Canis lupus familiaris: one gene and its partner. The protein of the gene in region 1 purifies or fractionates together with the protein of each later gene. This does not show direct contact. Links are inferred from orthologs where the notes say so. Each region holds a gene or a part of one and is shown in the gene's direction. Other genes may lie near its edges.

Region 1 (7,294 bases):
TATAACATAGAACTTACTATTTTAGTCATATTTAAGTATACAATTTAGTAGTAGCATTAAGTAAATTCACACTGTTGTACAACCATTATAACCATTCATCTCTAGAACTCTCACTTTCCCAAACTCTGTGCCCATTAAACAGTAACTCCCCATTCTCCTCTCACCTCAGCCCCTAGCAACCACTATATTACTTTCTTTCTCTATGAACTCAACTACTCTAGGTTACCATATGTATTTTTTCTAGGTCAGAAATTGCTTTGGAGCAGGGAAAAACACATAGCAAAAATGGCAAAGATAAACATGAACTCTGTAAAAAGATATTCAGCATCACAGTCGTCAGGGAAATGCAAATCAGAAGTACAGTGAATATCACCTATGTGTCAGAATGGCTATTATCAAAAAGATAAAAAATAACAAGTGTTGGCAAGGATGTGGAGAAAAGGGAACCCTTATGCACTAGTGGTGGGAATGTAAATTGGTTCGGCCGTTGTGGAAAACAATATGGAGGGGTCCTCAAAAAATTATTAGAAACATAAAGAGGAGTAGAAGGTACAGGGCTTCCAGTTATGAATAAGGCACAAGGACGAGGGGTACAGCCTAAGGAATATAGGGAAAAAGAAAAATACCATACAATCTAGTAATTCCACTACTGGGTATTTAACTAAAGAAAACAAACTCATTTAAAAAGATACATGCACCCATATATTTATTGCAGCATTATTTACAATAGCCAAGATATGGAAGCAACCCAAATGTTTATCAATAGATGAATGGATAAAGATATGGTATGGGGAACCCTGGGTGGCGCAGCGGTTTGACACCTGCCTTTGGCCCAGGGCACGATCCTGGAGACCCGGGATCGAATCCCACGTCGGGCTCCCGGCATGGAGCCTGCTTCTCCCTCCTCCTGTGTCTCTGCCTCTCTCTCTCTCTCTGTGTGACTATCATAAAAAAAAAAAAAAGATATGGTATGTATATACACAATGGAATATTACTCAGCCATAAAAAAGTAAGATCTTTCCATTTGTGACAACATGGGTGGAACTGAAGGGTATTGTGCTAAGTAAAATAAGAGAAAAACAAATACCACACAATTTCACTTATATGTGGAATCTAAAAAACAAATAAAGAAACCAACTGTTAAATGTAGAAAACAAACTGGTGACTACCAGAGGGGAGGTAGGATGAGGAGATCGGCAAAGTAGGATTAAGAGGTGCAAGCTTCCAGGGGCACCTGGGTGGCTCCATTGGTTAAGTGTCCAATTTTGGCTCAAGTCATGATCTCAGTCGCGAAGTCAAGCTCCAGGTCGGGCTTTGCACTGGGCATGGAGCCTGCTTGAGATTCTCTCTCTCGCCCTCCCCACCCCCCAAATAAATGAATACAATCTTAAAAAAAAAAAAAAGTGCAAACTTCCAGTTATAAAATAAGTCACAGAGATGAAAAAGTAAAACATGGACAATATAGTCAATAATACTGTGGTAATGCTGGATGATGACCGATGGTACCTGCACTTATATATAACTGAATCAGTATGTTGTACACCTGAAAACATTGTATACCAACTATAGTTATAACTTTAAAACAAAAAAAATAGCTCTCTTAGGAGAAACACAAGTTACATCTTTTACAGTTTGCTCCTGCTGTTTAGATTGCATGCTATCCTAACAGAATTTTGCGTACCCCAGGTTCTATAACAATGCCTAGAATAGGTGCTCAAGGAGTGTTTGCTGAATGGATTGCTTTTACGAAAACAATGTACTATGTGACATTATCTCAAGATCCTAAAATCTTCATACCACTAATGAGACTCAAATTTTTATATTTTGTTATTCCATAGGAGATTGACATCCTCCAATAATAGACCTCGAGAAGACAGCTGGTTAAAATCCTTATTTGTCCGGAAAGTTGATCCAAGAAAAGATGCTCACTCTAATCTCCTGGCCAAAAAGGAAACAAGCAGTCTATATAAATTGCAGTGTGAGTGATAGGTTTGCTATCTTCATAGTTGACTTTTTTCCCTTTGTTCATAAGTTTATCGTTGAATTTTCTTTTGTTTCAGTTCACAATGTTAAACCGGAATGCCTAGAAGCATACAACAAAATTTGGTGTGTATACCAGACTATACTTTACTTGGGGAAAATTAACAATTTGAATATTTGTTGGTTCAGCTAACACTAGACAGCAGAGTGAGATCTTTGATCCCTCTTCTTGAAGCTGAATGTTCAGAGGCTCTTAAATTGAGCTTTGTGTGGGATTGCCAAGGACATTTTGATTTTAAGGACTCACACGGCTAACTTATCACATAAGTGCTCAGACGTTAGAATGTTCCAGCCTCTTAAGGTTGGAAGCAGGTACCTTGTAAGGCCATCTAGTCCATCTACTCATCCGTGCTTGAGTCCTTTCTGCAGATCTTCATGACTGCCTGTGTTTAAGTACATTCATACATTCCATCTCTGGACAGCTTTTAGTGTTAGGAATTAGAACTCACACCCTGGTGACCTCGACCTCCATTGTTTCCAGCTTTACTCCTGAGTAAAATTTCACATGAAAGTCCTATATGTATTTGAATATAGCCACCATTTCTTCTCAAGTCTTCCAGTTACCAGGATTAAAGTCCCTTTGGCAGATTCCCAAACAATAATGAGATCCATATGCTCTTACAGAATTTGTAAACTTCAAGACTAAAGAGAGAATTAAGTGCATTTGTTCTCATTTAAGGTAGCAAATTGTATTTTAATGATTGATTTTGAGCAAGTATCATTTAAAAGCATTTTTTTTACCTTTCTTATCTGCTACCTTCATGAAAAAGCAAATGATTTTGTCACCAGAATCAGTATAATTTTCAGATGCAAAAATCTTTTGTTATTTTGGGAGGTGATTCGTGAAATATAACATTAGCATAGAGTTTCTTAATCACCTCAACACAGTTCTTTTTATTTAAAAATGTCCTAAGACAAAGCAGATCTTACTTCTAAATCTTTTTTCCTAAAATGAAATTTCTTGTCCGTGGTAATGTTTCCCTGGATTATCTTTCTTGTCCTGTTTGTATCACTTCATCTCCTGTCTCAGATATTCATCTCCTGTCTATTCATATTTCCATTCAGATGTCTTTCTCTGCCTTCAACCTCAACATTAGAATCACCTGACTCTTCTCACATATGTCACTCACCATGGTTTTATTTAACCTTTTCCTTAGTCCTATGCAATTGGTGCATTCTTCATTTGATACGCATTTTGATTCGTTTCATCTCCTTCTCCATCTCCCTCTCCCAGCTGGTTAAGCCCCATTTCTAAGTAGCATCCTTTTTGACTGCCTTCTTGGCCTCAAGGTTGTATCTGTACCTTGCCCCACACCCAATCCATTACTTCGAAGTTTGTCAAATTGATCTCCCTGAGTCTGCTTTCCCTGCATCATGTTTTTTTCTTTTCTCTGATACTTTCAGCAGCTCCCTGTTTCCAGTATATAAAGACTTAACTCCTTCCTGGTTTTTAGGGGCCCAATGATGAGGTTCTGCCCAGCGCATCCAATTCTGAGTACAAGTACTACCTGCCTTACAGCTGTCATTCATGTAAGGCCAGGGTTTCCCAGAACAGCTTTGGAGTCCCCAGCAAAAAAGATATGCCTTCGTATTGGTGAAAAACCTGGGCCCCATCATCAGGCCCCAGCCCCTTTCTGGACTCCACGTGGGTCATCTGTACAGGTTTTCTTCTACACTGGCTCCCATTCAGGGTTGTCATGACAAAAAAGGAAATCCATTTCCAATAACTTCACATAATCCATTTTTCCCCACCCCTGATTTCTATCAGTCCCATGTTATTTCTAATATTAATCTTTTTGACCCAGTACGATGATCACACCATATGTATTTTTTGAAGGGTGGCATTTCACCCTTCAAAATGTGGTCATTAGGGGATCCCTGGGTGGCCCAGCGGTTGAGTATCTGCCTTCAGTCCAGGGTGTGATCCTGGGATCCGGGATCAAGTCCCGCGTCGGTTTCCCCACAGGGAGCCTGCTTCTCCCTCTGTCTGTGTCTCTGCCTCTCTCTCTGTGTGTCTCTCATGAATAAATAAATAAAATCTTTAAAAAAAAATGTGGTCATTGTACTGGGTCATAAACATGTATGGGTTTTCATTTAGCTAGACATTAGAGACAATTCTGAGCTTTTCTCTCTTAATTGCATGTGCACTCAGTTCTGGTGGCCCAGCCTCTGATAGTGATCACTCACTTAATTGGCACTCAGTGTCAACAAATAGTTGGAACAGGTTCCATTTCTGACCCTTGAAATCCTTTTGCATTTATTGTTGAATCTGTACTGTACATAATTTTTCTCTTCAAAAAATATGCATGTTTAGCTTTTATTTTGGGATGGCACAGTTATGGCTCTTCCTTTTGCCTTGCTCTGTATACTAATCTGTACCATACAAAGGTTTCCATGGTTAAATTAACATACTGCCAGGACCTGTCACAGCTTTGCCACTGCTCCTGTACAACCCCTGGTAATGAACTGCAGGGGTGGGGTGGGATGCAACATGGGATTATATGGTACTTGTTAAATCCTGTCTGCTGGTTAAATGGAATCGAACCCATGTTATGGTCCATGTTGCATTTTAATTTGGATTCTTCTGCCATGTTGATGCCCTCTGGGACAGTTGGAGCTGCGTTGCTTCCGGATTCTATTGTGTTCTAGCTCCATCCTCTTCCTCCTTACAGCCAGCTTGTTCTCTGCCTCTGCTAGCTGCCTGCTCATGCTGCTTCTGTTGTCTCCCGATCTTAAACATTACTTTCTTCTCTTATTTCTTCTGTGCTGTTTTTCTACTATTCCTGTTTCTCTCCTTCTTGTCTTGGGAACCAGCAGAACTTAGCTTTTAGAGACTTCACCCTTCCTAGGTACTTCTCCCATCCGCCCCCCTCCTGAAATAGCAAATAGTAGACCCATGTAGTTCCTGGAATCCTGGGACCTTTGGCTCTTCCTTATCCATTTTTATCACTGTACTTGAGTTGTTTACAACTATTCTAGGTAGTTGGGATAACAGAAACCTAAGCCTCTGTCTGATAAGTGGAAAATTAGAGTGCAGCAGAATTCAGCTAAAAGTTTAATTCTGTACATCATTTTATCATAAATATATTCTGAGATCAGTTGTCAGAGTAGATGGCCTTTTTCCTACTGCTGACCATGTGTTGTCTACCTGGTATAATCTTGTCAGTTTAATTAGTGTTGCTATTTCTTCTCTTTAAGTCAAGAGGTGTTGCCAAAGATTCACGAAGATAAGCATTACCCTTGTACTTTGGTGGGGACTTGGAACACGTGGTATGGCGAGCAGGATCAAGCTGGTAGGAAGCAGAAGTCTTTGGAATAAACCTTTGTCCCCAAGCCTTTACTGTTAATGACCTAAATAATACTAAATTTAATGCTTGTTTTTATAATCAAAGCCTTATAAGTCTTAGTCTAGTTTTATTGTTAAAGTAGTTTATCCAGCAACTGATTGCAAAAACTACTAATTTTTTGGTTTTTTTTTGCTTTAACATTTGAATCCATTATTGAAACTCTATGGTGTAACTCATATGCCAACACGTGGCTCATTACAGTTTCGTATGATGTTAACATTGTGTATATGTAGATTATTTTCAAGGTAAGGAGTATCATGAAACTCTAAATGTATGTTACCTTTTAAAAATATATTTCAGTCCACCTCTGGAGGTATGAAGGAGGCTATCCAGCCCTCACAGAAGTCATGAATAAACTCAGAGAAAATCAGGTAGTGATTTTGAAAAATGTTTATTCAGACTAGTGATGTAATAAATGATAGGACATAATTAAATGACTTTTCTATCATCATTTTTTTAATATTAATAAATTTTTTTGTAGTAAAAGTTTTATTATTTGGATTCTTAAAGTTGTATCAAAACATAATTAACCAGTTGTAATACTATTAACATAGCAGTTCTTATTGTAAAAGTCAGTTGTATTTTGAAACTCGTGAGCTAGTACTTTCATGCCAGTAAGTCAGCATGGTAGACACAGTCAGCCCTGGATTACCCAACACTTAATCTGCTTCAGGAACTGCCAGCCACATAGTCTCTCCCTTGGGCTGACTTCCTTCCTCCCCCTCCCTTCAGTAATAGGTGCAGGTCAATGAAGAGAATTTTAACAGCCACACATTATTAGGAAAGAAAACCTTTTGTGTAGATAGATTCCCAGTCCAAATATAAGTGGCTTTTGGACCATCTGGTATTTTGTAGTCTCTGTGTCACTTCTATTAATATGTTGTCAGACACTGTTAGGAGAACTCAAAAATGTAGGAAATTGAATTTGCTTACATTGTTATTTAAATAATTAGGATGGCTATGTAGTTTGTCATCTAAACCTGGATACTTTTGAGAGTGAAAGTGAATGCTAATAGTTATTTTGCCAGTTCAACAAAATGTAAGCTGGGGGCTGTCTCAGGCCACCTAGGACCCTATTTATGATAGTATTCTATTATAGGAGGAACATAAATGATACAAAAATGGGTTTATATGTAAACACTAAAGGATATCATCAGCACATTTTTTCCCTCAAAGGAATTTGTGGAATTCCGCAAGGCAAGAAGCAACATGCTTCTCTCTAGGAAGAATCAGCTGCTGTTGGAATTCAGTTTCTGGAATGAGCCTATCCCACGGTCAGGACCTAATATATATGAACTCAGATCTTACCAGCTCCGAGTAAGTACTGAAACCTAAACTAGAAATCTCTAAGTTAACAGCCCTCTCATTATTCTGTGAGGAGATGTGAGCACCCCTTAATGCCAATAGCAAAAGTTAAGTTTACATTTTGTGATGTGTGTTTGGCATAATATCTTGATTGGTTTGTTTTCTCCAATGCCCATTCCTGTCTTCTTTCCTTTTTTTTTTTATCTTATTCTCTTTCATTTCATCTCCTAAGCTCTTTTGTTTCATATAATCTTTATATAGTGTTTTTTTTTTTTTTTTTTTATTTATGATAGTCACAGAGAGAGAGAGAGAGAGAGAGAGGCAGAGACACAGGCAGAGGGAGAAGCAGGCTCCATGCACCGGGAGCCCGACGTGGGATTCGATCCCGGGTCTCCAGGATCGGGCCCTGGGCCAAAGGCAGGCGCTAAACCGCTGCGCCACCCAGGGATCCCTATATAGTGTTTTTTATTTGACATTTTTCCATAGAGCATTACTATTTTTTTGAAGATTTTATTTATTTATTCATGAGAGAGAGAGAGAGAGAGAGGCAGAGACACAGGCAGAGGGAGAAGCAGGCTCCATGCAGGGAGCCGGATGTGGGA
Region 2 (7,294 bases), on another chromosome or scaffold:
CCCATGACTTTCTTTGGTGGTTTAGGTTATACCTCTATTTACTAGAACTAGAATTCTCTCATACAGATCAAGTAAGACTATAGTAGACTTACCATCTATTTCTTTCCTAGGGACACCATGATCAACTAGCCAGTGCTATAGGTCTCTGTAAGTCACACTATTCTGATTACTACTTTGGTTCTGCTGTCCATTATGATAACCATACTCAGTTTGCCTTTGGCAGTTAAATGTTGCTATTTGGCCTCAGCCACCCTAGGATCCCAATTGATGGTAGCAGTTCCCACTGTGATTTGTGACCTACAGAGAAGAATAACGACACAGCCCTTCAAGCATGCCATCTTCCCCCAAATTGATTTCTTACAGTCATGGTGAAAGATGTGTCCTCTAACCTTTCCAGGTTGGCTGAGCAGGTCTAACATCATAAATCCACGTTAACATTCCAGTTTCCTTAAGCCTTTCATTAGCTTCCTCTACAGCATACCAACACAGTTCTAGCATTTCAACTTCATTTGATGCTACTTGTTTTCTATTTGTCCTGTTTTTCCTTCCTTCTTTCATTTGGATTAGTAATTTTTTACCCTCACTATTGGGCTTTTACTTTGCTTTACCCTTTTAATGGTTACTCTAAGGTTTATAGTCTATATCCTTAACATATGATCTATCTGGAAATGATGTATCATTTTACCTATAAGGTAAGAACCTTAAAAGAATATACAGTTGACCCTTGTATGATATAAGTTCAAACTGTGTGGGTCCATTTACACACAGATTTTTATATAGTACTGTAAACGTAGTTCCTTTTTTTCTTAACTTTTTTTTCCCGTAGCTTACTTTATTATAGGAATACAGTATGTAATACATACACAAAATATGTTATCAACTATTTATGTTATTGGTACACCTTCTGATCAGTAGTAGGCTATTGGTAGTTAAGTTTTGGGGGCATCAAAAGTTATAACAGATTTTCTACTGCAAATGGTATCAGTGTCTCAACATTTCATTTCTAAATATATTATATATTCCTCAGCATATTGCTATCTTTGTTTTCAATAGTCATCTTTTAAGGAGATTAAAAATGAGAAGAGAGTTTTCTATATATACCCACATGGTTACCATTTTGAGTGCTCTTTCTTTGTATAGCTCCAAGTTCCCATCTGGTTTGATTTTCCTCCAACCTGAAGAACTTGACATATTCAGTCGCATAGGTCTGCTGGCAATGGAGTCTCTCACCTTTTGATTTGTTTGACAGCCTTTATTTCCACTTATTTTTCTAAAGATATTCTTGAGTGCCACAGAATTCTAGGTTCTTGTACTTTATTTATTTTTTGGGGGGGGTACTTTATGGATGTGTCAACATCATGTCATGGCTTGCATAATTTCTGATAGAAAGTCTGTTCTCATTTTTATCTTTGTTCTTCTGTTTATAATGTGTCTCTCCCCTTCACCGCCCTTGCCCCCACTGTCAGATCTTCCCTTTATTACTTAGTCTTAATCATGTGTTATGGTGTATCTTGGTTTGTTGTTGTTGCTATAGTTACTGTTGTTTTTTAATGTTCATTGGGCATGGCATTCATTGAGTTTCTTGGATAGTGGATTTGTAGTTTTGACCAAATTGGAAACTTTTTGGCCATTAATTCCAATATTTTCCCATCTTCCCCCCACCCCTTCTCTGCAGCTCCAACTTCACCTATGTTAGATTTACTTGATACGGTCCCAAAATGAAGCAATTTTTCTTTTTCCATCTGTATATTTTCTATTGCCATGTATTCAAGTTTCCTGATCTTTTTTTCTTTGGTGTATAATCTACTATTAACCCAATCTTGTGTATCTTTCATTTCCTATCTAGAAGTAACATTTGATTCACTTTTATGTATTCAGTTTCTCTTCATTATGTTTCTGCTTTCCTCTACCTTCTTGAATGTATAGCATGCATTTACAATAATAGCCTTTCTAACATTGTCTGCTACTTCTGTCTTCATTTCTGCATGTTTGTATCAGTCAGTTTGCCTCTTGCAGTTTCATCTCATGCACGTGGTTAACAGTACTCATCCAGAGTTTCAGGGGCCCTCTGTAGGTACCTGGAGTCCTCCTTTTGTGGAGCAGCTGCCCTCCAGGACTCTACTCCACAGGTTCCAGCTGCACTGGCCTCCCTGCAGGCTCCTTGAGACTTTTGTGGGCCCTCTGCATTTTTACCTCTCACAAGTTGGAGCTTTTTGTTTTTGTTATTCATTTGAGACACACAGAGAGAGCACAAGCAGGGGGAGTGGCAGGAAGAGGGAGAAACAGACTCCCCGCTGAGCAGAGAGCCCAATTCAGGGCTCCATCCCAGACCCTACAATCATGACCTGTGCCCAAAGACAGATTCCTTAACCATCTGAGCCACCCGGGCATCCCAAGGCTTTTCTTTTTCATCCTCTTTCACATACTTTCACAATAGGGCATGTATCATAAGAGAGATAAAAATATGATTGCAAATTTGTTTCAGCCTCCTTTTACTATTGGGATTTTGTTTCCTTCATACCACAAGACTGCACAAAATTGCCTTTTGAACCCCAGTCACCAATAGACACAGGATGTCTGTTTACACAACCCTGTAAAAATAGCCTTTGGAATTTCGGAGCCTATCTCTTTAGTCTCTTTCCTCAAACAAGTTCAGTATAGAGTAGATGCCTTAAGTAGAAAATGAGTTACATTATTATTGGCATATTCCTTTCTCTATAGAAGTACTTTATGTGCTACACATCATCACACTGTGAGAGATTTCCCTCCAGCTCTTTGACCCAGCCCTTCCAGCCTCCTATACCACCTTAGAATTCCATGAATGTTCCATGGGGAAAGACTAGCTTTGCATTTGGTTTCTTCTAGCTTATAATGTATTGTACATGACCTCCTAAAACTGATCATTTCACTTGCTCCCAGGAGCATCCTTCTGCTTGAGCCAACTCTAATCTTCAGCCCATGCCCAAAAGAATCATATAACCTCAGAAAAGAAAACATCCAGCAATCATCAGTTCACTTCAGGCAAGCTCTTCCCTGTCTGGAATTTTAGTTCATATGGTCCTCATTGCTTCTACCACTCTCTCATAGCTTTATGAATGTGTGGTTTTACAGTTTATTCATTTTTGTCTGCAGTTTTGCAGCAAGAATACAGGCCTCATGAGACATTCTACATCCTACTCAGAAATGGAAGCCAGACTTAAGACCTGGTTTTCTATCTAGAGTACATTGTTACACCCTTGCTCAGTGTTACTTCTTATATTCTTTGAGTCCATAGCTCATAACTTGGCACCTACCAGTCTCTAGTATAACATGGAAAGCTATGCTGAAAATGATTTACATTCTAATCTGTTGTGTTCATTTTTACAGGACCAGGATTAAAACCTCCAGAGGAACGGACAATTGAATACTTAGAAGAAGTTGCAGTTAATTTTGCCAAAGGACTATCTGATAAGAAAATCTCCATAAAGAGAGACAAGGGATTAGTAGAAAGTGAGTGTCATTATTAAAGAACTAAGGCAAAGGTTCTCTCCAGAGAGTTTAATTTTGTTATAAAATGAGGAGGTAAATGCGTTTTTTTTTTTTTACTCTAAGTATAGAGTCATCCTTAAGGAGTGTAACAACTGCTCTAGGTTCAAGTCCTAAACCTTACACTGGTTGGTTACAGCCATGTTTTTTTTCAATTTTTTATTTTGGAAAATTTGAAGCATTAATACAAAAGCAGAATAATATATAATACTGTAATAAACACCCATGCACCCAACACCCAACTTTAGTATTTATCAACTAATTAAACCATGTGTATAGAAGTGCTTAGGTTGCAATTTGGATTTTGTATATCAAAGTGAAAAGTTCTTTCAGATAGCTACAATTACTGCATTTTTATGGAGTTTACAGAACAAACTAAGAAGGGAGACTAGGCTTTTTCCAGTAAGTATCTAAAAACCATTTTCTTTTGCAGAATTGACGTCATATGCCCTGAGTATTCCTTTTGTCAGACAACAGGTTTACAAAAAGGTGGAAGAAAAAGTACGAAAACAGACCAAAGGCCTTTATCCTGCACCTCTGAAAATAATCGATGTGAGTCTTCACCCCATATTCCCACATTTCTCATGTTTCCTCCCTTTATAGAGCAGTATTCTTTATTGCCATTCCGAACTATGTCTTCTGGTACTATAGTTCTTAATTCTGTTATTACAGTACTCACTAAAAATAAAGCAAGCAAGCCATGAGGGCTCATAAACTGATTATTTTGGGGATAATGAGTGCTGGGCATAAGGAATTTAAAACTACCAGTTATAAAACAGGAAAAAATAGAAAACCTGTTATATCAGAATAACAAGGCCAGTGAAATCCTGGGCATTAATTAAAAGGTAGTTGAAACAAAATTGATGGCCTCGGTTGAAAACATTGCAGTACCTAAAATGCCTTATTGACTTCCCCATTGCTGTAATTATCAAAAAAATGTAATGATACAGAAAAGTTCTGAAAAAGATCAAGGAGGATAAATAAAATGATCACAGGGTTAAGAACTTCTGTCTAAAGGTAGACTTTAAAACTTAGAAACTCTTTAGTCTTCAGTCTTTAGTATCTAAGATTAAGAGAACATGTAATCTAAGACTTTGAAAATGGGCAATAAATCAGCCAACAAATATATTTTGAGGAAAGACACCAAAATGCATAAATAGGACACATGATTCCCTTCTCACACCCATCTCCCAGTTTGGGGAGATTAGATGTGTGTCTGTGCTGGGACAGGTAACTAATGGAAGGGATGTTAGATGCCACCCTGGGATCACTGCCAGATAATTGAACAGAGGAAGATTGCTAAATGCACAGAGGAGGCAACAGTCACTGTAAGCCAGAGAGATTAGGAAGAGCCTCCTATAATTTTTTTTAAGATTTGATTTATTTATTCATGAGACACACAGAGAAAGAGGCAGAGGGAGAAGCATGCTCCCCACAGAGAACCCAATGTGGGACTCGATCCCCAGACCCGGGATCACGCCCTGAGCTAAAGGCAGATGCTCAACCGCTGAGCCACCCAGGCATCCCAGAGCATCATAGAATTTGACCTGAGCCCTGGAAAGTGAAGAGAAAGTGGTACCAGGTAGGGTGGGCATTTTGAGCAAAGTTACAGAAGCTGGAAAGCATGAGGTTCTTCAAGGAACATTTAATGAGATCAGATTTTGTAGGATACTGAAATGTGTGCAAAAAGGCCAAATGAACCTAGATTTTAGAACTTGGACAATAATGAATTTGGAAATTTGACCTTCATCCTGTATAGATCATAGAGATAATAGTCCTAGTAAGTCATAAACAATTTAGAAAGAGAGACAAGTAGAGACTTGAAGTTGGAAGCTATCTTGGTCATTCAGACTTGACATTACCAAGATAGATTAGTAAAGAGGTGAAGGTAGTAAGAGACTTGCCAAAGAGAAGAGATTATGAGTTAAGTCTTAGAAGTGCTGAGTTTAGATGTTTCAGGAAATTCAAGTGACAGTTTACACAAAAGATAAGAATGTAGATTTGTGCTGAGTGAAGTAAGTCAATCGGAGAAGGACAAACATTATATGTTCTCATTCATTTGGGGAATATAAATAATAGTGAAAGGGAATATAAGGGAAGGGAGAAGAAATGTGTGGGAAATATCAGAAAGGGAGACAACGTAAAGACTGCTAACTCTGGGAAACGAACTAGGGGTGGTAGAAGGGGAGGAGGGCGAGGGGTGGGAGTGAATGGGTGACGGGCACTGGGGGTTATTCTGTATGTTGGTAAATTGAATACCAATAAAAAATAAATTTAAAAAAATTTTTAACCAAAAAAAATAAATAAATAAAAATAAAAAATAAAAAAAATAAAGAATGTAGATTTGTTCATATGTGGGTTGGTTTTTTTTGTATATATATATCCACTTTTCCTTCTCATAAATTGTGGTGATTGAATACAGGGTCAATTCGACTTTTATACTTGGACTTAGGATAGGACTTCCCTCAAATGTTAAGTTGAATTTATAGAATTCATGAGTAACATGACAGAGGAGACCATCGGCCTGAGGAAGAATGCACGGAAGGAGAAAAGGGCTGAGAGTGTAACTATGGGGATGTGCCTACTAACGTAGGAGAGCAAGAGAGAAGCTGGAAGAGCCATTTTAGCAAGAAGGAAGGGGAAACCTTTTCTCAGACTTGAGCAGTGCCAGTGGCAGCTTTTTCTCTGCTGGGATAGTGGTCTAGAAGTGGATAAGGAGATAAGAGTTTGAGCTGTGGGACCTCTGTCATCTTTTCCCATTCTGACTTTTATTACTTTCTTCTATTTCATTTCCTTCCATTTTATACTAGTTTTAGTAGTAGTCTTGGAGATGGAAAATGAAGTCAGTCTTTTTTTTTTTTTTTTTTAACTTTTTTAAGACTTATTCATTTATTTGAGAGAGGGGGAAAAAAGAGCAAGAGAGTGAGCACAAATGAGGGGATAGGCAGAGGGAGAAGCAGACCTCCTGAGCTCCATCCCAGGACCTTAGGATCATGACCTGAGCCAAATGCAGATGTTCAACCAACTGAGCCCCCCAGGTGGCCCAAGAATAAAGTAAGTCTTAAGCAAGCAGCCATTCAGTCCTCTTGTCTTTCTTACTCCGCTTCCAGACTTTTGGCTTACTCTTTGAAGACTGATGAACTAGCAGTTTTACTCACGGTAGTGAGCATCTCGCCCATCCCTTGCAACAATGAACAAATGCTTTATGTGTTTTTTAGGTGGTAAAGACTGGAATTGAGCAAGGGAACGATGCTGGCTATCTCTCTGAATCTCAGGTAAAGTTCTTTCCTTTGAATTTTTTATTAGCTACTGAAAAACCAAGATCTAGAACTTTTTATAAAGCTGAGAAAAGGAAAGGTACCCAAAGTCTATCTAAAATGTTTTTCTTCTGGTGACTATCATTTCTCAGGGTTACTCTCAGTGAATAGATGTTAAGAACACGTTAGTGGTCAGTGGTCCCAGCTACTTGAACTTGCTCTCAGTAATGAGGGTTTAAGTAGGGAAAGCAGGGCCAGAGTTCTAATTCTTTCAAATGAATCATTGGGATGTTTTTGTTCTGGAGTTGGGCTGGTTATATTCTGATAAAAATGAATACATTGAGAGAAGAATACATTTCTTACTTATTAGGGCCTAGAGATAAAACTTTGAAGGCCAGCCTCTCTTTGGTGAATTAGAAAATGGAAGGAAATGTTGTGTAGCAACTAAAAGAACAGAGAGGAGCATGTGAACAAGCCTCACCTCTTCCCACTTTTCCAACAAATTGGTGGTA

What was found.
Region 2: the proteins of NIPSNAP2 (region 1) and HADHA purify together in Homo sapiens (affinity purification with mass spectrometry; 3 studies listed by BioGRID and IntAct, with this or other methods). This does not show direct contact. The link is inferred for Canis lupus familiaris from reciprocal best matches to the Homo sapiens genes NIPSNAP2 and HADHA.

Annotation. Positions count from the first base shown.
Region 1 is NC_049227.1:375,700-382,993, forward strand, and holds part of NIPSNAP2 (protein NipSnap homolog 2), read left to right. Parts: intron 1-1,838; coding exon 1,839-1,978; intron 1,979-2,060; coding exon 2,061-2,106; intron 2,107-5,238; coding exon 5,239-5,333; intron 5,334-5,687; coding exon 5,688-5,758; intron 5,759-6,563; coding exon 6,564-6,704; intron 6,705-7,294. UniProt on the Homo sapiens protein: Protein involved in mitophagy by facilitating recruitment of the autophagy machinery required for clearance of damaged mitochondria.
Region 2 is NC_049238.1:20,393,567-20,400,860, reverse strand, and holds part of HADHA (trifunctional enzyme subunit alpha, mitochondrial), read left to right. Parts: intron 1-3,366; coding exon 3,367-3,489; intron 3,490-3,958; coding exon 3,959-4,077; intron 4,078-6,743; coding exon 6,744-6,800; intron 6,801-7,294. UniProt on the Homo sapiens protein: Mitochondrial trifunctional enzyme catalyzes the last three of the four reactions of the mitochondrial beta-oxidation pathway.